Linked DNA regions of Tamandua tetradactyla. The protein of the gene in region 1 purifies or fractionates together with the protein of each later gene. This does not show direct contact. Links are inferred from orthologs where the notes say so. Each region holds a gene or a part of one and is shown in the gene's direction. Other genes may lie near its edges. The genes, in order: TRRAP, EPC2, KAT2B and histone H2B type 1-A.

Region 1 (7,455 bases):
TGTTCTGGTTAGTTAAATTTTCCAGGTCACAGAAGGTTCATGGTTCCTTGGTGTCAACTGTAGTTGCTGAAAACCTTTCTAAAGCCTGCTTGCTGGTGCCAGCAAGGGTAGTATATCTGATTCTCCCTCTGCTAAGGGAAAGTCTGCAGCCCTGGAGTCCATAGTCCTAACAAATCCTCATTGTTCTGTACAGCAATGTAACTAAGGGAGGTGGGGACCACTGGGTAGATAACAGTGATCCCCAAAAAGCTTGGAGTGGGCAAAACTGAGTTCAAAGTGCTCCCTTTGTTGACTGTATCAAGGCAGCTGGAATTGTCAGACATCGGGACACTGGGTCACCCTGTCCAAGCTCACAAGAAACCTAGAGGGAGGATAAGATGCCAGTTTGTTCATTTATCACAGTGGGGGTGGGGTGGGGACCTCTTTGCAGGTCCAGCCTCCAGAAAGTCCAATCTCTGAGGCCCTGAATAGCCAAGACAATCTTGAAAAAGAACAAAGTTAGAGGACTCACACATTTCCTCATTTCAAAACTTACTACAAAGTTATGGTAATTAAAACAGTGTGGTACTGGCATAAGAATAGATTTATAGACCAATGGAATAGAATCAAGAGTTCAGAGTTAAATCCACACATTTATGGCCAGTTGATTTTTGACAAGGGTGCCAAGTCCATTCAATGGGGCAAAGAACAGGCCCTTCATTGAGCAGTGATGGGACAGCTGGAAATGCTCATGCAAAAGAATGAATATGGACCCCTATCTCTCACCATTTATAAAAATTAATTCAAAATGGATCAAAGACCTAAATATAAGAATACTATACAATACACAGAGGAAAACATAGGGAAATATCTTCAGGACCTTGTAGTAGGCAATAGATTTTTAGATTTTTAACCAAAAGCACAAGCAACAACAAAAATAGATAAAATGGGACTTCATCAAAATTAAAAAAACTTTTGTGCATCAAAGGGCATTAGCAAGAAAGTGAAAAGACAATCTATGGGATGGGAGAAAATACTTGGAAACCACATACCTGATAAGGGATTAATATTCAGAATATATAAAAACAGCTACAACTCAACAACAAAGCGATAACCCAATTAAAAAATGGGCCAAGGATTTGAACAGACATTTCTCCAAATATGACATTGAAATGGCCAAAAAGATTATGAAAAGATACTCAATATCATTAGTCAATAGAGAAATGCCAATTAAAAACTGTAACGCATTAAGTAGATATCACCTTGTTGTTCAAGATGTAGTGGAGAGGCTGGAGGGAACTGCCTGTAAATGTTGAGCTGTGTTCCAGTAGCCATGTTTCTTGATGATGATTGAACAATGATATAGCTTTCACAATGAGACTCTGTGAATGTGAAAACCTTGTGTCTGATGCTCCTTTTATCTACCATATCAACAGACGAGTAGAACATATAGAATAAAAATAAATAATAGGGGGAACAAATGTTAAAATAAATTTAGTTTGAAATGCTAGTGATAAATGAAAGGGAGGGGTAAGGGGTATGGTATGTATAATCTTTTTTTTCTGTTATCGTTTTATTTCTTTTTCTGTTGTCTTTTTATTTCTTTTTCTAAAAAACTAACACACAAAAACTATAATTATAGCCACTAGTATGGCTATAATTTTAAAAAATGAAGGAATTAAAAAAACAAATGCTGGCAAGGATGCAGAGAAAGAGAAACCCTGTACATTATTGGTGGCAATGTAAAGTGGTGCAGCCACTGTGGAAAAGAGTTTGGCAGTGTGCTGGTTTGAAAGGAAGTATACCCCCTAGGAAAGCCATGTTTTAATCAAAATATCATTTCATAAAGGTAGAATAATTTCTATTCAAAGTATGTTTGAAACTGTAATCAGATCATCTCCCTGGATGATGTGATTTAGTCAAGAGTGGTTGTTAAACTGGATTAAGGGACATGTCTCCACCCATTTGGGTGGGTCTTGATTGGTTTATTGGAGTCCTATAAAAGAGGAAACATTTTGGAGAATGAGAGATTCGGAGAGAGCAGAACAATGTAGTCATGAGGTGCAGAGAGTCCACGAGCCAGCAACCTCTGGAGATGAAGAAGGAAAACGCCTCCCGGGGAACTTCATGAAACCAGAAGCCAGGAGAGAAAACTAGCAGATGACGACGCCATGTTCACCATGTGCCCTTCCAGCTGAGAGAGAAGCCCTGACTGTATTCGCCATGTGCCTTCTCACTTGAGAAACTCTGAACTTCATCAGCCTTCTTGAACCAAGGTATCTTTCCCTTGGTTCCCTTGGCCTTTGATTGGACATATCTATAGACCTGTTTTAATTGGGACATTTTCTTGGCTTTGGAACTGTAACCTAGCAACTCATTAAATTCCCCCTTTGGAAAAGCCATTCCGTTTCTGGTATATTGCATTCCAACAGCTAGCAAACTAGAATAGGCAGTTTCTCAGAAAATTAAACATAGAAGTATCACATGACCCTATAATTCCACTCTAGGTGTGTACCCCAAAGAATTGAATGCAGGGGCTTGAACAGATCATTGTACACCCAAAGTTCCCTGAAGCACTGTTCATAGCAACCCAAGTGTCCATCAACATATGAATGAATAAACAAAATGTGGTCTATCCATACAACGGAATATTATTCAACCGTAAAAAGAAGTGAAGTGCTGGGACATGCTACATCATGTATGAATCTTGAAGACATTGTGTGGAGTGAAATAAGTCAGACACAAAAGGATAAATATTATATGCTTTCTCCTTATGAAATATTAGAAGCAAGTTATAGAGACAGAGAGCAGAATAGTGGTTACCAGGGTGGTGGAAGAGGGGAATGGGGAGTTATTGTGAAACAAATATGAATTTTGGTTTAGGATGATGGAAATATTGTCTGGAAATAGATAATGGTGAAAGCAGTATTTGCATCGTACTTATGTCAAAGAACTGTCCACTTAAAATGGTTAAAATGAGTTTTATGTTAATGTATATATATTTTACAATTAAAAATAAACAAATAAAAATCAAAACAGTGTGGCAAGTACTTGGATAGACGCTCAGGTCATAAGAAGTGTAGGGCCTTCACCAAAGCCAGGGTGCCTGCTTGCTCTAAGCTAGGCTTAATTTGTGTTTTTATCATGTGCAATTAACTCAAAACTTAAGCAAAGATTTTGCCTATTGCAGTTTTTGTTTTGTTTTACGTCTGCTCTCCTAGCAAAATGAAGTAGCACACCGATTTTGGTCCTCAGATTTTCAACAATCCCCAACTTCAGACTTCAGACTTTTTTGGTGGGGAATGAGGCATAGAAGATTTTGCTCACAAACAGGGAACTTCTTCCACGGCGGTAGGGGTGTGCTGACTCCTTTTACTTTTCCTAGGGCAGACGATTAATTGATGCTAAAAACAATCCCAACACTCCAGCTGAAGCTCCTCTTGTGTGGCAACATTAAACAAGAAAGGGGCATGTTCCAGAACAGGGCAACTTCTAGGAAATCAGCAGGTATTGCAAGCTCTATTTATTGCAATGGGCAAACTGTATCTATTCGGGAAGCTGAAGATTTTGGTGGGTGTGAGGATAGGGGTTAGAGGATGGGGCAGGAGGTGGAGCGAGGTCTTGGAGGTACTGGAGTTAAGGTGATCACTTTCTGGCTTTGTCCCTCTGACATGGTAACCATCCATGACCAGGCCCACTCCCATGGATGGAACATGTAGGTGAGGCACGACGGCACGCCCACGTCCTGATACCCAGCTTTGGGGCTCAAGGCAGGAAAACTCACGAACCTTTAAGAAGTTTGTATTTTGAGTGCCCTTGCCTGGGCATCAAGTTGTTCTGCCTCACTGCCCCCAGGGCCTCCACGTAGTTTTGGCCTGGCCGGAAGCTTTGACTCCTCCGGGTTTTGCCCTCCGTGGAGCGCAGCGGGAGGCCTCGGCATCTGCCCGCGGGCAGAAGGCGGGCCAGAGTCGGCCACCTCCGGGCAGAACTCCGGGGCTTTCCTAGACATGCGAAGTCTCGGGTGGTCTCCAGCCTAAGCCTTCCCAAAGACCCTCCTCTCCCTCTGGCGGTCGAAGGAGGAGCCCAGGGTCACAGAAAGGAAGCCCGGGGGTAAAACCCCAGCCTTGCCCGCCACGCTTCCCGACCTGGGCCCGACCGCCGCCTGCACAGGGAGCCCCTCAGGTGCCTCCCGCCCAGCAGCAGCCCCCGAGCCTCCCTCTCTTCCCCCGGCACGGGTCCTGCGGAGAGACTAAGGGGCGGGAGCTGCCCAGGGAAACTCGGCAGTTGCCTCGGGGGGCAGCCGAGTCGGCAACCCCACCCTCTGCAAACAGGGCTTTAAAGACCAGGGCGGGCCCACCCGTGCCCACCCTGGCCGTGGATGCCCCTCCCCACTCCCGCCCAGGCCGCACCCACTTAGGGGCGGGGGCGGCGGGACCTAGTTCCCAGTCGGCGGGTGCTGCTGCTTTAAGCGGGGGCGGGACTGCGCGCGGCGGAGCGGCGACGGCGGCGGCCCGGCTGGCTTAGCTGGGGGTCGCGGGCCCGGGGCTGCAGGAGGCCGGCGGCCGAGGTCGAGGTGAGGGCGAGCGCCCTCAGCGGGGACGGATAATCGGCCCCAGGAAGTGCGCGCGGCGGCTTCACGGGGCCGGCCCAGGAGTGGGGAGGTTTCCGCGGCACGGCAGCTCCGGGAAGGGATAGAAGGAGGCTCCGACCGCCCCGGGCTCCCCCGGCCTTCCCTCGGAGCCCGGTCCGGACGGCGGGGCATAGCGGCAGCCTTGAAACCTCCGCTCGCTGCCGGGCCCAGATGGGGCGAAGCGGATGCGGAGGGCTAGCGGGCGCGGAAATTGGCCCTCTGCGCTCGCCGTAGCACGGCCTGGGAGGCGGTCGCCGAGTGTCGGGGTGGAGTGGCGGCGGGGAGACGGTGACAAAAGGAGGGAACCGGAGGGCCGTTTGGGACCGGAGGAAGCGGGCGAGGGACAAGGGCCCCCTCCCCCGACGGCGCCCCCTCTCCGGGCCAGCCTGGCGCTCCCCCCCAACCCGGCCTCCACGCAGGTACCTGACTCTCCGGATCCGGTGTGGAGAGCGAAGGTAGCGGCTACCACAGCGCCCCCTCTGGCCCGGCGGCGCCGCCTCAGGCTCGGCGCGGCCGGGCGGGCTTTGGGGGTCTGCAGGGTGCGGGCGACGGGTTACCCGGGCGCGACGCCGCCCCCTGGCTTCTGACCTGGGCCTGGCGCGGGGGCTGGGCGGAACCGAGGCCCGGCCCCTCGGACTCCGGAGTCCTGGAGCTGCTCTGGGAGAGAGTTGGCATGGGCGGTCTCCTCTCCTCAGACTCCTGGGGCCCAGCGGAAGGCGGGACCTCGCGTCGCGGCACCCCGAGGAGTGGAAGACTTGACGCCTCTGAACTCTGCGGGCCGGCGAGGACTTGAAAACGGGCTCCGAGGCTTGGACGAGTTTGGGCAGGCCTGGGCAGGAGCAGGGGGTTTCTTAGGCAGGAAGAGGCCTTGACTCTGAGGTTTGGGACTCTCGTTGTGGAGATGCCGGTGGGGGAGGGGGATGTCTTAGGTAATTGGAGGAGAGATTGTGACTTGAAAGAGGCAAGCAATTGCCAGGACCCTCAGCAGGGCTGACAGAATCCTGGTCTTAGTTTCGTTAGTGACTCTTCTTGTCCTGAGATAGTGGACAAATGCTAGGACAGCTACCGGCGGTCCTCTTTTGTCTGAGAAATGACCAGAAGGGACTCTTTGGTTTGAACTGCAGGGGAGCATGTCCTCCTGCAGACACATTATTGTTCTGTCTGTTGAAGAAAGACGAAAGCTAAGCTGTGAAACCACCTCTTAATGCAAAGTAAAATCAGGCATTTATATATGCAGGGAGGATGGGTGAAAGAACAATTTCACCAGGTTCTCTAGACATTTTGGCCACAGCTCTTAAAATAAAAAACAAATCTCATTCATTCAGGTGTGTCCACCTGGGAGCAGCGATTTTCAAAGTGGTGTCAACAGTCTGTTTTCTATTCATTTTTTTGAAGCATTTTTTATTCATTCATTCGAAGAGTTCGGTTTTTTTTTTCAATTGAGTGCCTAATCTGTGACAGCTGCAAACAAAAATTTACAGCTTCCTGTACCCTTCACTGGGGCACACAGCCTCTCTGGGTGGTGCTTGGGAATCCACCTTTGTCACCTGTTGGTTTTAATGCACACTGAAGTTTGAGAACCAGATTGCCTAGGATAGGGGTTGGCAAACTCGTCAGCAGGCCAACTCCAGCCCGATCTCTGTTTTTATACTCTTGTTTTCATACTGTCCTTGAACTAAGGAATGGCTTTTACGATATTAAATGGCTAAGAAAAAAATCCAAAGCATAATGATGTTTCAGGATACATGAAAATTATGAAATTCAAATTTAGCATGTATAAATAAAGTCTTACTGGAACATAGTCGCACATTTGTTTACATGCTGTTGTCTGTAGCTGCTTTCTGGCTATAACAGCAGAGCTGAGTTGTTGCAACAGAAACTTCATGGCTGCAAAGCCTAAGATATTTTCTATCTGGTTCTTTACAAAAACAGTTTGCTAACCTCTGGCTTAGGGTAAGAAAGACGAGGGTAGGGGAGAAAAAACAAATGTGTTTAAACATTATGTTTAGATACATTTAGTAGACAAAATGGATCTAGATAAATTTTATTTAAAAAAAACAGAGGAAATAGTGTCATATCCTTGATTAACACAAAAATAATTTAGATGAGCATAGGCATTTAGATCAGCTTTTCACAGATTCTGAACCTGTGCCTTGATAAGTTGGCTAACTAAATGCTTCTTTTCATAGGCTGGTATGAACTCATGGACCTAAAACCATTCTCTTAAGAAACAGACTAGCACAAAAGAAAAATGGCGTTTGTTGCAACACAAGGGGCCACGGTGGTTGACCAAACCACTCTGATGAAAAAATATCTTCAGTTTGTGGCAGCTCTCACTGATGTAAATACACGTGAGTTGATGCTTTTCGTCACGTAGGAAATGCATTTATTCGTCCTCAGTTCAAATGATGTGCACACTGAAATAAATAATATCCTAATTTACACTTTCTTTAGGTCTTGTGGAGAAGCAAAGTGATGAGCTTAACTGGCTGGAGCCCCAAAGAGGCACGTGTGTTTGTGCGTGCATGTGTGTGTATGTATTTGTATGCTCATCTGGGCATGTGTCTGGTGTACGAGTGTATGTGACTGACTGTAGGCAACTAGTTATGTGCCTTCTGTTGGGCTGTGATGGTCAAACTGATAAGATCTGATTGTTTCTCTTAAATTATAAAACTTAAGTAATTTTAGGAACATCCTTAACTTAATTTCAGTTACTAATGATTTGTTTTGACATTTACAGCTGATGAAACGAAGTTAAAGATGATGCAAGAAGTTAGTGAAAATTTTGAGGTACATACTTTATATTTTTTATTTTCTGTTATAAATATCCACATATATGTACTTTC
Region 2 (6,834 bases), on another chromosome or scaffold:
CGTGCCACCTCTGAGTGCACTGTCTTTCCCCACAACACAAAGATTCAGAGCTGCCTCGGTAAAGGGCACTAGAACCAGGGGAGTGATTTCAATTGATTGCAAAGAACGCAAACTCCACATTCAGACTACATATGGAAAACAACACAGCTTTATTTGTTTATTGGTTTTGGGCTCCTTCTTGGGAATGAGGGGGAGGAGTGGGGAAGGCAGTTCACATACCAACCCAATTAACTTTCAATTGGGTTTGCTAAAACAGGGAGCCAATTAGAAAAGACATGACATTTAAGAAACTCTGAGATAGTTGAATGGTAACTGTGTTTACTAGTTTTAAGGTTCTTTTAAAAAAGTAATTTGTTCATTATTTGGAAGTTGCCTGCCCTGATAGCAGTACTGGGAAATAGAAAGTGGAATATAATCTCAATTCTTATAGTTACTTGACATTTATTCTAATTTTAGACCACATTTAGGCAATGGTTTTATTTTTGATATGGTTTATAACTGGTTCTAATTTTGGGGTGTTTATATAGATTACACTTGCTGGGCTAAATGCATGCCGTTTGGAATTGGTCTAGAGCATATCTGAAGTAGACTATGTGAAGGTCTGTACTCAGTGCATTGTACACTGAAATTAAAATAGGCTATTAAACTGCACAACCATTTTAAATAGACTTCGATAAAGACATTTTATAAGGTCTACTTTAGAAGTTGAAAAAGATATTTTCTGTTTGCAGCACTAAGAACTATATGGGTATTCAACAAATAGATTAGAAATAAACTTTATTTTATGAGAAATAATATTTATATACAAATAAAAGCTACTTTCCAAATGTGAAACAGAGGTACATTCTGGTTTGAGCACTGAACTGGAAGCCAAGAAAACACAGGCTGTGTCTCACTTGAAAAGCGTATTGTGTTATTTGACTCAAACTGTTTTATTCCCGCTCTATAATCATTGCCTACGAGGCAAAAAGGAAATGGAGCTTTGGGGAAGAAACCGATTACATGGTCAAAGCAAAAGAACAAAAGTAAAGCAACAACTACCTTAGCAAAAACCTGTCCCTATTATTGAATTTCAGATTTAAAAAAAGTTTATTTGAATTTCCTTAATTGGTTCAAAAATTCCTATACCCAAAGGTAGGAAGCTGGAGAGCAGGGTAGGTCCTAAGAGCAAATATTGGCAGCAGTGGTTAGGTCAGGTGACAGCCCAGTAAGGTACCTGAACTCTGTCTGAGATGGGGTGGAATGGGGTCAGTTTCACTGAATTTCCTGGTGGAATATCAGTCAACAACGTACGTTAGATGCCTGCTCTATGTTCAGATGTGATTGACAGAGCAGACAGTGTTCTTGCCCTTCCTGGGGCTATTACATCTTTAGGTTCTTGATTATACAATTTATAACCCATTGGTAGGAAGGGCTCAGTAATCTGGATCAACAACTTTGGAATACTGAATGGTCAATAAACAGAAGAGCTTGGCTAGCTGTGTAGGACTATTAAGAACACATGAGTTTTGGAGTAAAGCTAGACTTGGATTTGAATCTAGTCTGGATCTCAGCTTTCTTGCTGGTAAAATTACACTTCTTCACAGACTTATGAGAATTAAGTGGAATTCAATTACTTGAGCGAATACATCTATCCATTATAATATCTAGGATACTACAGAAACTCAATATTTTCTTTCTTGAGAAGGAGTAACAATAAATATAGGGAACAGAAGAAAACTATACTTTCTGAGAAGTGCTGGAAATTTAAATAGAAGTCCTGGATGACTCATTTATTTCTTCAACTATCACCTTAACTTTTCTCTCTTTCAGGCTTGAACCCAGTGCTGACCCTCTCCCAACAATGTCTTCCTTGCAGAGGACTGGAACTCCTTCAGAGTGCAGCAGTCCAGTAAGGGACATGTGCATAAGCTTAAGGAAGGTAAAGCTTACAAGAAGAAATGAGTCACAGCAACTCCATTGTTTCCAACAACAAAATGGATGGAAAACAGCTAAGCCCCAGAGTCTTGCTGGGCCAAACTGGTTAGACTGTTTAGACATAACCATGAACTCCATATCTACTATTCTGCCTTGAGGAGAGAAGAGGGCGTGAAAGGGGGAAGAGAAGGAGGAAGAGAAAGAAAAAAGGAGGGGAAAAGAAGGTAATAGAGGAAAAGATATAGTTTTGGCATCAAATGGAAATGACTGTAGGCATCTTTTTTTTTCTTTCACTGCTGGATTTAAGCAAACCATCTACCTTTCTTTGAGTTAGACAGAATATTTATCATGTATTACGAAATGTTAAGATGCATTACCCTCTTCCTAGGGATTTTGTGAGAAATCTGTAATGCTTAAGTCAAACCAAGAAACTAAACCAGATTACTTCAGCAAGAGCTCCTATTTATTTAAGACTCACCTTGATTTTCCTTTCTCCTTAGACCTTTCTCTGATCAGCTCAGGCTAAAAGTAATGTCTCCCTGCTCTGAACTCGCAATTATTGCTCGTACAACTCGTTTAGTAATCATGTGCTACTGCCTCATGTCACCTCTGGTATGGTGTTTTCAAGTATTTACATCTTTTGCTGTCATTTATCTTTCCAGCTGCCCGGTTCTTCAACTCTTTCTTTTAATGTTGTTCATCTTTCTAACTGTCCGTTAAAGTGAAAGATCATCGTGGGAAGGAATTTAATATCAAACTTCTTTGCGTCTTTCACAGCACCCAATATTTTACACAGATCTACCACTTCAAAAATGCCTACTGCCTTGGTCAAATTTTCTAAGTTTAACGTTAAAAAAAAATCTCCGCCTCAACCCGGCCCGAAATCAGAGATATATCTACCATCCTAAAAATATACTGAAGTTTGGAAGACCGGTACACTTGTTGCACCCAGCAGCCTGAAACCACTAACTCTCACTGCTGCCATTAGCATCCATACTCCCAGTGAAGGCGAGGATGAGCAAGGATGCCTTACCTTAGAGAGCTCTTTCGGTCAGGTATTAAAGAGAGTATGCGACGAAGAGGACTAGGACAGGACGAGCGTTTGGGGGTGGTGGGGGGTGTGTGGAGGGGAGGTCTGCTCCCCTCCGATTGGGCAGATTGAAAGGTCTTTTCACACTTCCAGGGGACGTGCGACTTGGAGGATGCGAATTAGCCTGCGCTCGGGCGTTTTGGAAATAAGCGCTTTATACGCACAACTTCGGGTGGTAGCTGTCGTAGCCCTGATCAGCATGTTCCATTCCCGCTCTCACACACACACACACACACACACACGCGCGCGCGCGCACACACACACACACACACTGCTCGGCACCGCCGGATTTTGCCGGAGCCTTCCTTCGGGGCGTCCAGAGAGCCGGGTGACCGGGCCGCGGAGGAAGAGGCGCACGCTCTGCCGGGCGGGATAACTTGCGCACCTGGCACCTGCCACACCGCGAGAGCGCAGGCTAGCGAGCCGAGGGTCGCCGCCGCCCCCTCTCCCCTGAGCGGCCCGAGACTGAGCAAGCTCCCGCGGGCCGGCAGCACCGCGGAGAGAGTGGGTGGGCAGGCGAGGGAGGGGAAGGGAGAGGAAGGAGGGAGGAAGGGAGGGAGAGGACGAGGCGCGTTCCTGCGACGGGGGCGCGCTCTCGCGCGGGCTGCCGGGATCGCTCGCCGCCGCTGTGGTAATGTCCGCCATGTTGGCCATGGCGCAGGGAGCGGATCGGGCGGGCGAGCGACGGATCTAGTGTGTGGAAGCGGCCGCGGGCGGCGGGGGGCTGTTTTCGGGCGGGGTGGGCGCCCATGCTGTGGCCGGGGGCAGTGAGGAGGAGGAGGAGGAGCGGGCCGGCCGCTCTGCACTGAGGAAGGAGGTGGAGGAGGAGGCGGGAGTCCTCCCCCCCTCCCCGCCCGCCCCGACGCCGCCGCCCGGGCTGTTCCTGTAAGGCGGGGAGACAATGAGTAAACTCTCCTTCCGAGCGCGGGCGCTGGACGCCGCCAAACCGCTGCCCATCTACCGCGGCAAGGATATGCCTGATCTCAACGACTGCGTCTCCATCAACCGGGCTGTGCCCCAGATGCCCACCGGGATGGAGAAGGAGGAGGAATCGGTAGGGACTCGAGTGTTTATTACCCCCCCTTCTCTCCTCCCCCCTCCCCTTTGTCAGTCGGGCCTCGCCATTCACAGAGCGCTTTACGCTCGCTGGAGGGCGCCGCTGCCGCTCCAACGCATGGGATCCTACGCCGGCGGAGTAGCGTAAACTCTCTCTGCCGGCGCAGCGCCCGCCCGCGGCCGCCATGTTGTTGCGTCCCAGTGTTGTGATTAGCTCGCAGCGCCGCTTACGCTGTCGTAAGGGGGCCTTGTCGTAAGCGGCGACCGGGAATGGCGCAGGGGATGCGCCGGCCGCACTTGGCGTAGGCCTCTGTTTACCTTTCTTTCCCCTGCCTCTGGCGCGGGGTTAATGGGTGAGGGATCCTTTGGTTCAGAAATATGTGTTCACTTCCCATTTTTAAATTTGGTTTTGCATTGGGTTCTTTTTAAAATGACGTATGGAACGTAAGGCGCTTTTAAAACAAATATTTTCCTCTCAGCAAGGTAATCCTCACTCCTCTTCCCCTCTGCCCGAGCTGGTGCAGCGGGATGAGGTGGTGCAGCATTGCGGCTGGGAGGGCGGGGGCAACGACTCCGGAGCGGGATGTAGCGTTGGAGCGGCGCGACGGGCTCGTACCTTGGCCGCGGCTCTGTTAACCTCGCCGGGACGGCCGCAGCGTTAGAAATGAACTAAGACGTTTCCGAGCGGCCGCCCGCGCTGCGCTGTGCCGGTGTTCGGTCTCGGAATTGTCAGCGGAGGGTAGTTTTTCAGAAGTTGAGGACCTAGTACTTCTAAATTGACAGATGTGTGTTTGATGAAATGCAGAAATGCTGCTTTGTCCTACCCTTATGGGTTGAATTTTGCATATGGATGAATTTCATCTGGCTTGACGAGAGTGTTTACGACTCTCGAGTGGTGTTACTTGCGTGCGAAGTTCATAGTAGCTGCATCCTCAAGAATTTCTTCAATGAACTTACGGTCCCGCCTTATTGTCAACCCCGGGTGTGTGTGGATTGGTTCTCTTGATTCTGTGACTGTCAAAAGAAGGCTCAAGGTCTCCGTGATTGGTTTTCTCTTTTGACTATTAATATTGCAGGAAATGCTTTTATGTCTTTGATTGGCTGCTGGAGTTCTGACCTCATTATGTTACCCTGTTATTACTACTTTCTGCTGTGATTTAATCGCATTTCTCTTTAGTGTTTGATTACTTGAGAGACTTAACCTTTTCAATAAAAATGAATAAAGCTGTAGTATAAGGGTGAACACTCAGTATTGTTTAAATATATAAAATAAAAATCCCAACATTTCTGCCTAAGGCTTTGAGCTGAATGCTATGTGAATTTTTTTTTTAAATTAAATTTGTTTCCAGCTTAGCTCAGTTTTCCATGCAGGATGGTTCACATAACTGAGTTTTCATTAATAACGTTTTAAAAAAGACAGGTTTGGATTTCACAAAGCTAAATTTCTATTAATATATTTTGAACCAAAAAGAAAGGTGGGTTATGAGTTTAGTATCAGTACTTTCTTTAGTTTCTTGAAATTAGTTGGGAAGAATTTGAGTCAAGAAACCTGTTCTAGAATGAACAGTTAACTCCTGGAAGATTACTTTTTGCAAACAATAATTAACAATATACCTGGTCTTTATTTTTTCGGTGTATCTTGGTATTTTATCTGAATTTAGAAGGAAAATCTGCAGTTCAATTATTTTTTTTTTATGTTGGTCATAAATAAGTTCTTAGCACCTGTTACGATTCTGTGCTATTATCTTTTTCAGTAAAACTTGTGAATTGCAGTCTAGGGCATGACTGCCAAAGTTGGATCTCTTCAGAATTGTTCAGTTTACTTCAGTTTGCTGCTGCATGCCTCAGTTTTTGAGGAAGAAGAAATCCAAATTCTGATAGAATTGAAACCCAGGACCTATGACTCTTTGTTTTGTCCTCTCTGCCTCTTTAAAGTCACTAGTGGAAGTTCTTAAACTTCCAAACAAAGCCAGACATTAAGATTTATAGTATAAAAGTCTTTTGCTTCCCAGAATGTTTAATTGGAGTGTTAGTTTTTTAAATTACATGTTAGTTTTTAATGTCAATTCATTTCTTAGTCTTATTTACAGAACTTCTTTATTAAGGAGATTTGTTCACTTTAAAACAAAATGCTATACCTTGATAAACAGTTCTAAGCAGCAGCAGTAAAGTATTTTGAATTTCACAAATTTTTGTGTTTCACTTGAATTGTATGTTCAACTGAACTTTCAGCATCTGTGTGATCCAGTTACTTTTATAAGTATTCTTAAAAATCACATGGAACTGTTTTTTTTTTTTTTTAAATCTTGGCTTATGTATTTACTAATAAACTTTACTAAAGTTTTTCCTATTTACTAATTTCTCCACAGTGTGACCACTATCTTGCTTGACTTTGCAAAATCCTGCCCTTTGACTTCGTGGATGGCTTCTGTTCCTCCACCCTACTCCCCAATAAAATTAAGTCTTCTCCTCTGTGCAGCCATTGAACTATCATCTTTGTTTATATAGTCATTGACTTGCTTTTTGAGTTACTTTCTGATATGCCTCAGGAAGGTAATCTAGGTGTTCTTTGGCATTGGTAGTGGTATTCTGTTAGTTCATTTTTTCTTTCAGACATGCAGGTATCTTTTACTGCTTTTCTTCCCTTTCCTTATTTTCGAAGGTTTGCCAGTTGGCATCTTCCTATAATTTGGTTTCTGAATTGATGCTTATGGCACTTGGTCTAAGTTAGATTATGTAAATTTATTATTTTTTTTTATTATTTTTTTTAC
Region 3 (7,124 bases), on another chromosome or scaffold:
AGCTAACATATGACCCAGCAATTTCACTGCTAGGTATATACCCAAAAGAAGTGGAAAATATGTCTACACGAAAACTTGCACACACATTTTCATAACAGCATTATTCATAACAGCCAAAATTGGAAACAACCCAAATGTTCATCAAGTGGTGAATGGATAAACAAAATGTGTTATATCCATAAAATGGAATATTATTCCATCATAAAAATTATTGAAGTTTGGGGCATGTTTTAATATAGATTTAGACCTTGAAAACATTATATTAAGTGAATGTAGTCAATCACAAAAGAGCACATATTGTATGCATCCATGAAAATGAAATGTCTTGAATAGATGACTCTATAGTCAGAAATTAAATTAGTGGTTGCCAGGGGATGGGGAGAGGGGAGAATTTTTTTTTTTTTTGGCAGGGGAAGGTGATGAAAATATTCTAAAATCAATTGTGATGATTGTATAGTTCAGTGAATATACTAAAAATTATTGATTTGTACAACTTAAAAGGGTGAACTTTATGGTATGCCAATTTCATCTCAGTAAAGCTGTTATATATTTTAAAACAACAACAACCAAAAAAACTGGGGCAAAAAACCTGAATTAGGTTGTAGATGAGGTTCATTCCTGCATCTTTCTCTACTGTTTTGCCTTTCCTGCTTGGCCCGCTCTCCTTCCCCACAACTACTTTTAAGAATTTGCTGTGCATCTTTCTAGATTGTTCTCTTGCTTTTACATTTTATGTGCATTTATTGAACAGATGCTGAACTTGCTCATATGTTAATGAGAGTTTGTCTTTAGCACAAACAGAATTACACTGTGCTGGAGTTAATTCAGTGTTTCTTGGAGCTCTGTGTACGTTATTGCGTTTAAATAAAGGTCATTTTGTAACAGCTGTATAATATTCCATAGGGTGACTATACTACAAATAACCTTCAGTAGTCAGCTTGCTCCCTACAATTCCGTTCCCCAAGTCCATGTTATTTTCTAATTGTGATGTTCTTACCACATTTAGTTTCTATGTATTTTAAAGGCTAAAATACTGTCTTTTCTTTTTCCTTGGTACCCACTTCCTAACAGAGTGCTCTGCCCACAGGAGGAGCTTACTAAATGCTCACAACAGCTTGATTATGAAGGGGCAACAAACCTGTTGAATTCTTTGCCCTTGAAACTTCCCTGCCTTGTACACAGAGCACACTTTCACATAAGGCCTCGAAACCGTGAGACTTCAGTTTAAGACAGTATATCTGCATGCTCTCAGCAGGGATATAATGAGAAATAACGTTCAGTTGATGTCACAAGCTATTCGCTATTCAGACAGTGGTCGTTTTGATAGTAAATTGCTCTGAGTTTGGAAATAATATGCTTCCTGAATTCTGGGGGTGGCTTGAGAGGGGAAGGTAATGGATGGTGAGTTAATATTAAAGGTGGAACCCGTTACGCCCCTATGCTTAATGAAAATGTTCAAACATAGAGGAAAGTTGACATAATTGTATAGCAAACACTCATACACCAACCACCTAGATTCTATCAGTAACTTTTTGCTACTTTTGCTTACTTCTGTCCATCTCCCCATTGGTAGATGCATCAATTCATTTTAATTTTTGATGCATCTCAAAGCTCATTTGTTATCTCAAAGACATCAGGATATTGCACCCCTAAACTTTCAGCATAAATATTATTAACTAGAGTTTTTATGATTAAAATCAAATTTTGGAGGTAACATTTACATCCAGTGGAACGTACCATTCCATAAGTTTTACAGATGTCTACACAGCGTAATCGAAACTTCAATCAAGATATTTCTCAGCATATTAGTTTTCTAGGGCAGGTGTAACAAAATGCCACAAACTATATATGTAAAAACAGCAGAAATTTATTGTCTGAAATGAAGGTGTCAGCAGGACATGTTCCCTTGGAAACCTGGAGTGGAGCATTTTTCCTTGCCTCTGGCATCTGGTGGTTTGCTGCTGGCAATCTTTGGCATTCCATGGCTTGCACCAGCAGCACTTCAATCTCTGCTTCTGTGGGCACATGGTGTTTTCCCCTGTATCTGTCTGTTCCTGTGTCCGAATTTCCTTCTTCTTATTGGGCACCAGCCATATTGGTTCAAAGCCCACCCTAACCTAGGGTGGCCTCATCTTAGGTAATCAAGTCTTCAAAGACTATTTCCAAATCAGGAGGTAGGGGTTAGAACCTGAGCATATCTTTAGGTGGGACACAATTCAATTCATAATACTTCATTCATTCATTCATTCTTGGGAATTCTGACAGATCTGCTAATATCATGGGAGTTTGACCCGGAATCACAGCTTTTAAGACTCCCATCCTGCTTTGGTGAGTAAGAATGGGAAAAAAAACCCCAAATCTGCAAAACACCCCAGCAAAGCCACAAGAGAGTAACAGTGGTAAAGTGAAGCACATCAAACCAAGAAAGGAGGAATTGAACTAACTCTCCTGATGGAACCTGATAAGTCGGCCATTTCAGACCTTTACACTGGGCTCAAGTTGGGAGAGGATATTTCCTTTGGTCCTTTCTGACACCACTTTATGTGTCTATACTTCTTCGTAGTTCCACTTTTATATATCACTCTGTATTAAAAGTTGAAGGAATATGGGAAATCTGGGTAAATGACAGAGAAAATTAACTGGGATGGGGAAGGGAACATTTCCCGGCGAAATCTGTTTCTTAAGAGGTCTCTGGCCTTCTGCGGGATTGGGTGAGAGCTAGAAGGCACGCGAAGAATCTGATTATAAGCACATCATGTCCCAAGTTGTACATCATAACATTTGTCCTCCAAAATTAGGGCACTAGTGAAGGGCGCTGAGAAGTAGTGCTTGACTTTTAAGAACTGCTTTTGAGAGGCCGACCGGGCATAAATTTGAAACGCAAAACTGAAATGTTCGCTCCACATTCCTAAACACCACCCTCACAGCCATCAGCGCAAAAACAGTTGAAAACGCCGAGTCAGTTAAAAAAAAAAAAGTTCCAGGCCAAAATAAACACTCATCTTGGATGCTGCGTAAATTTTTTTTTCTCGGTTACTAGGCATGCCGGTGATATCACATTTGAAACTGTGGAAAATTTTTAAAAAGAAAAGAGCAAGGGGTTATAACCCCGACATGCAAAGGTAAGCCCTGATAACGTTTTTAAAACTTTGATTCAAACTTCTCCTCCTGCCCATGTTTTTAATTTTGACAGTGTTTTTTAGGCAATCGTTCTTTTAACAGCCAGCATTAAAAAAAAAAATTACAGAAAATAATTGCTCGGCAATCTTTTCCCTCCTCTGGCGGGTTTCACCCAGAAACTACAAGAAAGCCTTTTTAATTACTTTTTTTTTCTTTTGATAGAAACGTGTTTAAAAAAGATTAGCAGATACCATCACGTCTTTATTTTTGGTGAATTAGCAACAAAGAAAAGGATTAGCATGGACGGGTACTTTTCAAAAATAATTTTTTTTTTCCCTCTGGCTCCCGCTAGGGTGGAGGAAGTTGTCTCGGCTCCGAGAGAGGGTAGAGAGAGTGGAAGGACAAATGACTGGGACGCCCCCTTCTCCCGCTCCAGGCTCGGAAACGCGGGGGTCGCCTGGGGAGCTGCGAAGAGGGAGGCAGCCAGCAGGTGCCTGGGCTCCAGCCCCCTACACCCCTCCTCAACCCCACGCCCGCCCCCACCCCGAGCTTGGCCTCGCCTCCAGGCGGGCGAGCGCTATAGGTGTCGAGGCGTGGGGGTGGGGGGCGCAAACCCCGCGGGGAGCAGAAAAGAGACCCAAGGGGTCCTCCCGGCACCGGCACACAACGAGAGTTTCGCATCCCCCTCACCCTGCTGGCACACAGCCCCAGCCCTCCACACGGGGAGCACGTCCGAGGCCAGCGAGCCGAGCAGAGCCCCGGGGAGGAGAGCCGGGGGAGGGCGTGTGCAGTGGCAGCAGCAGCGGCGGCAGCGGAGCCGCTAGTCCCCTCCCTCCTGGGGGAGCAGCTGCCGCCGCCGCCGCCGCCGCCACCACCGTCAGCGCGCGGGCCGAGGCCGGAGCGAGCCGGGCAAGCGGCGCGCGCGCGGGGGAGGGCGGGGGCGGGGAGGGGGGTGGGAGAAGGGGGCGGGAGGGCGTGGGGGGAGGGTCTCGCTCTCCCGGCGACCAGAGCCCGAGAGGGAGACCCTGGCGGCGGCGGCGCCTGACGCTCGGCGCCTCCTGCCGTGCTCCTGGGCGGCATGTCCGAGGCTGGCGGGGCCGGACCGGGCGGCGGCGGGGCAGGAGCCGGGGCAGGGGCCGGGGCAGGGGCCGGGCCCGGGGCCCTGCCCCCGCAGCCCCCCGCGCCGCCGCAGGGCTCTCCGTGTGCCGCCGCCGCCGGGGGCTCGGGCGCCTGCGGACCGGCGACGGCAGTGGCGGCGGCGGGCACGGCCGAAGGACCAGGAGGCGGCGGCTCGGCCCGGATCGCTGTGAAGAAGGCGCAGCTGCGCTCTGCTCCACGGGCCAAAAAACTGGAGAAACTCGGAGTCTACTCCGCCTGCAAGGTACCAGCTCGCCGCTCGCGGACCGCGGCTGGGGGCGAAGGGCCCAGCTCTGTGGGGCCCCCGCCCTCTCCCCCTCCCCCTCCCCTCCGCCCCCGCCTCCCGCCTACCGCCTGGGGCCGCTGCACCGCGGAAGTGCTGCTGCCGCCCGCGCCCAGTTAGCTCCTTTTCGGATAAGAGTCCCGTTGGGTTGGAAGAAGGGGAATCACCAAGTCGGAGAACCCGTTCCCCACTCCCTACCCCCTCCTCGGATAGAATACCCTTTGCATTCGCGCTCCGGGGCTGCCCTGGGGCTTCGCTGCTCTATAGGAGCTCGCCGGAGGCGTCTGCTAGGGAGTGGAGCCCTGTTCACGGTGTGGCAGGACGCCCCAGGGTCAGGAAAACATCTCTGGGATCTGAGTGACTCGCTTGCGCCCGGTGCCCCACTGGGAGGGGTTGGGTGCAAAGAGTGAGGGTGGAAAAGACTCTCGGATTCCTTGCTCTGAGAGAGAGAGAGAGAGAGAGAGAGAGAAGGGGCAGGACGCGCAGGGTGGGGAGGTGGACACTGCCCGAGGCGAGGGTCCCTGGAGCGCCTGGAGCCCTCGGCTGGGGGCGGAGGTACTGCAGCGCGCCGTGACAACCTTGTCATTATTGTATTATTACTTATTTAGTTAAAACGCTGTCCTAACTGCTCGGGGTGTAAATAGGACTTGACAAGGTGACAGCCCAGCACTGTGGGCACTGCTACTCAGTTTGAGGATACACGTTTCTTTCCATCCTGTTCTCCATCCCAGCTATCGGTGGCCCCTGGGCCCTCAGCTGAAGACCCAGATGTAGGTGCTGCGCGCCTAGGGTGGGAGGATTGCCCAAGGCCGAGGGGCAGGCTGGCCCTGCACTGTCAGCAGAGGCTTTGTTTTGACAGGGTGACAGCTGAGGGGGGCGGAGACTTGGCCTTGTCAGCCTCTGCGGCCTGTGGCTGAGGCGGGGAAGACTCTTGCACACACTCAATCACCTCCCGTGCACGTATTCTTCCCGTCTGCTTGTAAACAGGGTCAAGTTCCCAGATTTCAGATGGCCACAAGAACTCTGCAGTGACCGCTTCTGAGTTTTGGTGTAAAGGTTATCAATACTGCTAGAATTCCTGGACTGTCTTGGTCCTGCTGTTTTTAGTATTTCCAGGAGTTTCTCCACCTCAATGGAATGACTGTGCTTGCCCTTTTCCCAGACCATTCATCTCTTTGTGTATATATTGAGCATTTGCTGTGAACCTTACACAGGTTCAATAAATATTTGTTGAATGAATGTAGGATCCAGTGCAGTGCTTCTCAAACTTTAATGTACATAGGAATCTCCTGAGAATCTATTAAAATACTGATTCTGAATCAGCTGAGATTCTGCATTTCTAACGAACTCCTATGTGATCCTTTACTGGTCCACAGACCACACTGCAAGTGGAAAAGACCCAGGTTCAGCCTTGACAATGTATCTTAGTCGTTTATAATTCAGCTGAGAAAATTAAAACTATGAAATAGTAATGTGACATGATATTTCTGAAGAAGAAATGTGAAAATGTTAAAGTAGGGAACATCCTTCTAAAAAGGAGAAAGGCTAGGAGTTGGTTATAAAGGGCATTAGACCAATCAGAGTGAGACCTTCAGTGTAGTAGGCAGAATGGAGTGTTGTGCACAGAATCTAGAATAAGTTCAATTACTTGGTGAATTTGTGTTTTGCATTGTCTCATGTAGGGACTGTGTCAAGCTCTGTGTTTCTGTTCTGGTTTTGTATTGGGTTCCCATCTTGAACACCACTTCTCCCCACTGCCTGCTGTCACCTTATTATCTAACAATTCCCTGAAATTTTGAGTTCTTTCTAAAACCATGGGCATATGTGCCCTGCATTGATATTTTTGATCGATCCAAATTTTCACGCATGAGATGTAACCTAAAGGTTGTGGTTTGAGTATTTCGTGTTCCCACTCACCTCTACCACACTTACAAGAAGAAAAAACATCTACAATTCTCCTTAAAACCTTAAAGGCTTCTTGTCCTGCTCCTGGAAAACTCTGAAAGCTTCAACTTTTATTTGCCCATTTATTCAATAAATATTTAGAGAGGTCCCACTGGGTGCCAGATACTATGCTAGAAGCTAGACTGTGATACTCAGAGTCTGTCCTTCTTGAGGTACTGGTCACTCATGTGTGCAAGTGTGTGTTGGAGGTGGACTGTAAAGCAATTACAATAAAGTTCAGAAAAACTGTTTTACAAAATTGATGAGGGAAGCCAGAGCTGGGCAGTTCACGAGATAGAGCCTGAAGAGGATGGAGATGGCTTAGAGAAAGTGCCAGTGGGTGCTAAGGACACTTGGCTGCTCAGGGTAGTAAGGTAGCGTGAAGCTTCTTGTAATGGAGCAACCGAAAACAGTTCTGAAAGGTAGAAAACAGTTCTGAAAGGTAGGCGCTGGGTCAGCAGGAGCTAGCACTCCATTGACCTGGCTGCGAGGGTGGGAAGTTATGGTCATGAGGGCACTGAGGAATGGGGAGAGTGGCATCATCAAATTTGCTTTCTTTTCTTTTTTTTAATACTGGGCTTGGTTGGGTGTGAGTTGGTTTGAGACATCAGAACCTATGGTTCTTTTCTCAGCTTGTCTC
Region 4 (5,495 bases), on another chromosome or scaffold:
GCTGCAAATCTATAAGTATGATACGATTTCATAAAATTACACACACACAACAAACAGCCATCAAGAACTGGTGAAATTTGGGCGGGCCACAGTGGCTCAGCAAGCAAGAATGCTTGCCTGCCAGGCCAGAGGACTCGGGTTTGATTCCTGGTGCCTGCCCATGTAAAAAAAAAAAAAAGCTGGTGAAATCTGAATTAGGACTATAATTAATAGTATTGTAACAATGTCTATATCTTGGTTTTGATACTTGTACTATGTTTACGTAAGATATCTTTGGGAGAAAATGCAGAACTCTGTTTTTGCAACTACTTTGTGCATCTAAAATAAGGAAAACCATTTTCACCTTTATTTTCCTTTGGTAGTTCTGAGCACAGAATGTGAGATTTTCCCCCCTCCAATCATCAGGAAGTTTTGAGGTAAAACTTTATCATATTTTCTGGCTGGGTATACGAATTTCCCAGCCATAATTAAGAAAAGGGCTATTTAATTTCATTGAAAAGAGCGATGTGATAAGGGGCCGGGATTAAACACTAAGCAAAATTAATTTACCATTATGTGGGGTAAGGGGTGCTCAGTGTGGCAAATTGAAAGTTGTAGCATGAATTGTCAAATTTCCTAGCACAGGAAAGAAAATCATCAATGAAACAGATTAAGGAAATTGGGAGGGGGCAGTATTCCTAAATATGCTCTGTAAAAAAAGAAGTTGCTGAGGCTGAAAGAATCCTCAGAGATTAGAGTCTGAGATACACAGACATTCTTCCCTCCCCCAACTTCTTTTAATAGTGATAAAATTCACTATTTATAGTTTATTTTCATTTTCTCAATTTGCTCCAACAGCAGGGAGCACCACTCTAACTACTTCCCTTCAATCTCCAGGGTTGAACATCCAGGAAGTATTCGTATTGGCTCAGCTCTGGTGTCGGTCTCTCTCTTTGGGCCAATCGTTGTGATCTATAGGGGGCGATTGATTTCACTGGCCAAAACAGTGTGCAGTGTGAGCTACTCTGATTGGCCATTTCCAACATCCCATTGCTATTCCAAACAGCAAGTCGTGGACTGTTTGTAAACTGGAATAGGACACAAACGAACGGGATAAAATGGAATCATTTAGATTTGTAATTTCAGAATCCCTCCCCCATCGTATGGTAATGTTTCTGAAAACTTTTATTTTAGCTCTTGGTGTGCACGTGTATTTCTGAGTGTTACCTGAGTTGTATGAAACCTATTTCTTAATATGTGAATTAATGTATAGTAAAAAAATTTTTTTTAATTTGAAAACTCAGTTCTGCAGTTTGCGTATTTTAATTTTATTGTTTATAATGTGTCAGCAGAACATTTCCTTTCTGCCTTTGAGCACGATTGCTCCCTTAACCCCTCTACCTCTCATTCACTCACTTAGATAATAATCCGATCTCCTCATTCCCCTTCTGGGTTTCAACATCAAGCCTTATTTGTCCTTTCTCCATGCCAATTTCATTTGTCTTTATTCTCCTGGATTCTACCTTTTCCACAGTGTGATTTAAGTGCAATATTGAAGTCCTTTTACTGAAGGACTACTACGTGGCTTTCTGAACTTATGAAGTAACAAAAGACATCACCCACCAAAAGTCCTATTTTATTTTCTTAAAATGCCTTATCATGTACTATAATTTGCAATACCCAAGGATGATAGAGTAACACCATAATTTTGAATTAGCTACAATCAGTATTACAGAGAATATAAGTGATATAATAAATTGCCATACTTTGGAAGTTGACCACAGCTCTTTCTCTGAAAACGTGGATGGATGGCTTTGAAAAGAACCTTTGAGTTTCCAATATAATTATTTCCTAATGTGTAAAGTAATTGTGGGGCATTACCCTGCAGAAGGTACTTGCACATGATTTTGTTGTTGGTATTCTCCTTCTGAGGCAGAATCATTTTAATATCTTTTTCAAAAATTTGTCTAATACTCCAGAATAATATTAAATACTAGTAATGAGAAAAGTCTTCTAATGATAAGTATACTATTATTCCACTAAGAAATGAAGGTTATTCAACTAAACATAATAGAAAAATGCCTTTTTTTTCCCTCTATAATGTGAATTCTTTGCATTTTGTTCAGCGTTCAAACAAAACTTACATTCTTAGGTGGATCCAAATTGTCACTGTTTTTTTTAATAGACTGCAGAGTTGATTGCTCATATTTAACAGAAGATTTGTGGCTTCTTATTTATAACTGAGACTGTGCTATACTTCTCAGCATGCTCTCTTCATTAGGTTTTATTAAATTACATTTTCCTAGCAAATATGGTCTTTTTTTTCATAATTGAAACCATTTCATTAGCTGCACATTCATCTTTTTCTTAAAGATGTTAACATGAAACACCCTTGGAAGTCTGGTCTCCGAGAATGGTAACTCATTAATGACTTCAATTTTTGTTTTCCATCTCCCTTAGTCCTCACTGCTTTCTAGGTTCAATTTAAGCAGTTTATAGTTTTTCAAAACTCTTACATTTCATCAGTATCTCCAAATAGGTTACATGGATTTTTATGAACTGCGACCTTGTGATTTTTGAGTACTTTCTTAGGTTAATTTTGTTTTTCTTGCTAAGCAAGGTTCCCAAGATTTGGGTTCATAATTGTTTTCAACAGTAGCTCTTTTATTTATTCAACTTCATAGGTTTGAGTATAATTTCATCAATACAAGTATTGTAAGAAAAAGTAATTTTTTACTTTTTGAATGTCTGTGGTCGTTATAATTGTACAGAGTTTTGTCTTTGCTTTGTGTTTGGAGAATTTCACTTACACCATTTATCCTGTCACCAATTTGTTGGTGTTTTTATTTCTGTAATCTTGGATGTGGCTGCTTTATGATTTTTCCATTGGTTGTATGGGTTTTTACTCATGTGCAGTGTGAAATGACCAACAGTACTATTTTGCCTCATGTAGTGGTGGTAGACCTATTGAAGAATTTATTGCTGAATGAAGATAGCAATTTGTCACATTACCAACTCTAATTTGACACTACTAATTGAATATCAAAGTGGTATCATTTTTGTTTGCAATATACCCTAAATGTACTATTCATTTCTATCGTTTTTCATAGGAAAAATACATATCAAATATTTGTATGTGTATTTTGTCTTGTGGCTTACTAATATGTCACACTGACAAATTTCAAGGTATTGAACCATCCCAGAACCTAGAATGAAATCCCTTGTTAGAAGGCACAAGAGAACTCATGTAGCCTAGAGATATGTTGTGACTTCTTTGCTGCTTGATTCATGTCCACAGACGTGCTCTCAAATGAGTTGAGCTGAAAGCTGAGAGTTTACAAGTTTCCTGCACTGATTTATAACCCAATCATCATTATTTAACTGTACTCTTTGAAATGCAGCCATAAAAAAAGACTTTCACATCTTCACATGTTTTCTTGGTAACTGCTGATTGTCACGATCCTGTGTGACCCTTCTCCCAAGGTCAAAACTGCCTTAAAATGATGGCCTTCCCACTGCTTGGAGCTAGCTACCTAGGGTCGCTGCTCTATTCACTGCTAAAACAGCTCCATCGATAATGACATTTTCCCCAAAGTCAGAGGTTCTGCGAGTTTTGCCTCTGTGGTCAATGCTGTTAGGTCTTTAAAAAGTGAACAGCCTCATTCACCAATCTCTTCAGACCTATTGGTTTACAAAATTAGGTTATTTCCGATTTACCCATTCATTGTCACATTTATTTTTTGTAATCTGCCCCAAACTCTTTTGCTGAAACTGTAGGTGGCTCTGAAAAGAGCCGTTGGTTTAAATTTCTGAGACTCAGCTCACTCAATGAACTTTACAACTTGAGGGACGTTACTTACACTGGACTTTATGATGATGGCTCTCGGTCTTCTTGGGCAGCAGCACAGCCTGGATGTTGGGCAGGACACCGCCCTGCGCGATAGTCACACCACCCAACAACTTGTTGAGCTCCTCATCATTGCGGATAGCCAGCTGCAGGTGGCGCGGGATAATGCGGGTCTTCTTGTTGTCGCGGGCCGCGTTGCCTGCCAGTTCCAGGATCTCGGCCGTCAGGTACTCCAGCACCGCTGCCAGGTACACCGGGGCGCCAGCTCCAATGCGCTCTGCGTAGTTCCCTCTGCGAAGCAGACGATGCACTCGACCCACAGGGAACTGTAGACCTGCCCTGGACGACCGAGACTTCGCTTTAGCACGCGCCTTGCCACCCTGCTTTCCTCTCCCAGACATGACTTTAACATGCAACCACTAGCATAAGAAGAGATGCGGTTACGTTAACCTTAACGGCTGGCAATGGGGCCTATTTATAGTCTAACGGTAGGCTGTGATTTGCTATCTGATTGGCTGTTAGCCGCCTATCCAATCACAGAGCCTTACTGGAGTCACCTTATTTACATACACACCTCTATGCATTGTCCAATCAGATGTTAGATGTGCAAGACGTCATGTGAGTGCTGGGCCTATAAATACCACTCTTCGCGCTGGTTAACGCCGTTCGCTTTGTACATGGTGAAGGTGAGCGGTGTAGCAGCCATGCCTGAGGTGTCTTCAAAAGGCACTATTATCTCCAAGAAAGGGTTCAAAAAAGCTGTGATCAAGACTCAGAAGAAAGAAGGGAAAAAACGCAAGAAGTGCCGGAAGGAGAGCTATTCTATTTACATCTATAAGGTATTGAAACAGGTTCACCCAGACACCGGCATCTCATCAAAGGCTATGAGCATCATGAACTCTTTTGTAACCGATATCTTCGAACGCATTGCGGGCGAGGCGTCGCGCTTGGCGCACTATAACAAGCGCTCAACTATCACTTCTAGGGAGATCCAGACGGCTGTGCGCCTGCTGCTACCCGGGGAGCTTGCCAAACACGCTGTGTCAGAGGGCACCAAGGCCGTTACTAAGTACACCAGCTCCAAGTGAAGTGGTCTAGCCACCAACTAAGCGTTCACCCAAAGGCTCTTTTCAGAGCCACTTATAGACTCCAGGGAAGAGTTGTGGACTTGCACTAAGTGGCTTATGTGCTAACAGGGGTCAGGGCTGATCCTTATGATATGTCCCTTAAGAAGATTTCACAAGGCACGAAGGTTTTTTGCTGATAGGCAAACAGCAGGTTAACCTTCAGTTTAAGCTATTTAATGTAATTGAAGGTGAGCATACCGATTGTTTTATGGACTATTAAAATTAAGTGAAGTTTAGGAAGAAAAATGCTCATGTATTTGCAGCATTTTTGAGAATGGGAGATCTATAAAAACTTAGTCTGCTTTTGTAAATGCTGTACCTCTAGATCAAGAGAGATGAATGTTGCTGGCAGAGTTTGTCACATCTTTCTACCACAGAACAATGAAGGTTCTGGGTCTGAAAAGACCTTAGGCCGTTTGGGAAGTTGGGTGTGGGAGCTCTAAAGCTGCTTAAGTGTTTCCCCGCTGTGTTTGCTGTGGTGCATGAAAAAGCTCATGTAGGTGAGCCTAACTACCTACAGACTAGAGATTTATAAAGCAAAA

The links.
Region 2: the proteins of TRRAP (region 1) and EPC2 purify together in Homo sapiens (affinity purification with mass spectrometry; 3 studies listed by BioGRID and IntAct, with this or other methods). This does not show direct contact. The link is inferred for Tamandua tetradactyla from reciprocal best matches to the Homo sapiens genes TRRAP and EPC2.
Region 3: the proteins of TRRAP (region 1) and KAT2B purify together in Homo sapiens (affinity purification with mass spectrometry; 5 studies listed by BioGRID and IntAct, with this or other methods). This does not show direct contact. The link is inferred for Tamandua tetradactyla from reciprocal best matches to the Homo sapiens genes TRRAP and KAT2B.
Region 4: the proteins of TRRAP (region 1) and histone H2B type 1-A purify together in Homo sapiens (affinity purification with mass spectrometry; 3 studies listed by BioGRID and IntAct, counting the BioPlex papers as one, with this or other methods). This does not show direct contact. The link is inferred for Tamandua tetradactyla from reciprocal best matches to the Homo sapiens genes TRRAP and H2BC1.

What each region holds. Positions count from the first base shown.
Region 1 is NC_135349.1:6,908,165-6,915,619, forward strand, and holds the start of TRRAP (transformation/transcription domain-associated protein), read left to right. Parts: upstream 1-4,453; 5' UTR 4,454-4,552; intron 4,553-4,841; exon of another isoform or gene 4,842-5,064; intron 5,065-5,203; exon of another isoform or gene 5,204-5,488; intron 5,489-5,521; exon of another isoform or gene 5,522-6,798; 5' UTR 6,799-6,860; coding exon 6,861-6,960; intron 6,961-7,070; exon of another isoform or gene 7,071-7,267; intron 7,268-7,349; coding exon 7,350-7,399; intron 7,400-7,455. UniProt on the Homo sapiens protein: Adapter protein, which is found in various multiprotein chromatin complexes with histone acetyltransferase activity (HAT), which gives a specific tag for epigenetic transcription activation.
Region 2 is NC_135329.1:118,547,777-118,554,610, forward strand, and holds the start of EPC2 (enhancer of polycomb homolog 2), read left to right. Parts: upstream 1-3,834; 5' UTR 3,835-3,908; coding exon 3,909-4,061; intron 4,062-6,834. UniProt on the Homo sapiens protein: May play a role in transcription or DNA repair.
Region 3 is NC_135341.1:68,209,415-68,216,538, reverse strand, and holds the start of KAT2B (histone acetyltransferase KAT2B), read left to right. Parts: upstream 1-4,104; 5' UTR 4,105-4,198; coding exon 4,199-4,501; intron 4,502-7,124. UniProt on the Homo sapiens protein: Functions as a histone acetyltransferase (HAT) to promote transcriptional activation. Has significant histone acetyltransferase activity with core histones (H3 and H4), and also with nucleosome core particles.
Region 4 is NC_135351.1:28,934,988-28,940,482, reverse strand, and holds histone H2B type 1-A, read left to right. Parts: upstream 1-4,476; 5' UTR 4,477-4,503; coding exon 4,504-4,914; 3' UTR 4,915-4,972; downstream 4,973-5,495. Other genes in the region: histone H2A type 1-A, read right to left, coding at 3,832-4,227. UniProt on the Homo sapiens protein: Variant histone specifically required to direct the transformation of dissociating nucleosomes to protamine in male germ cells.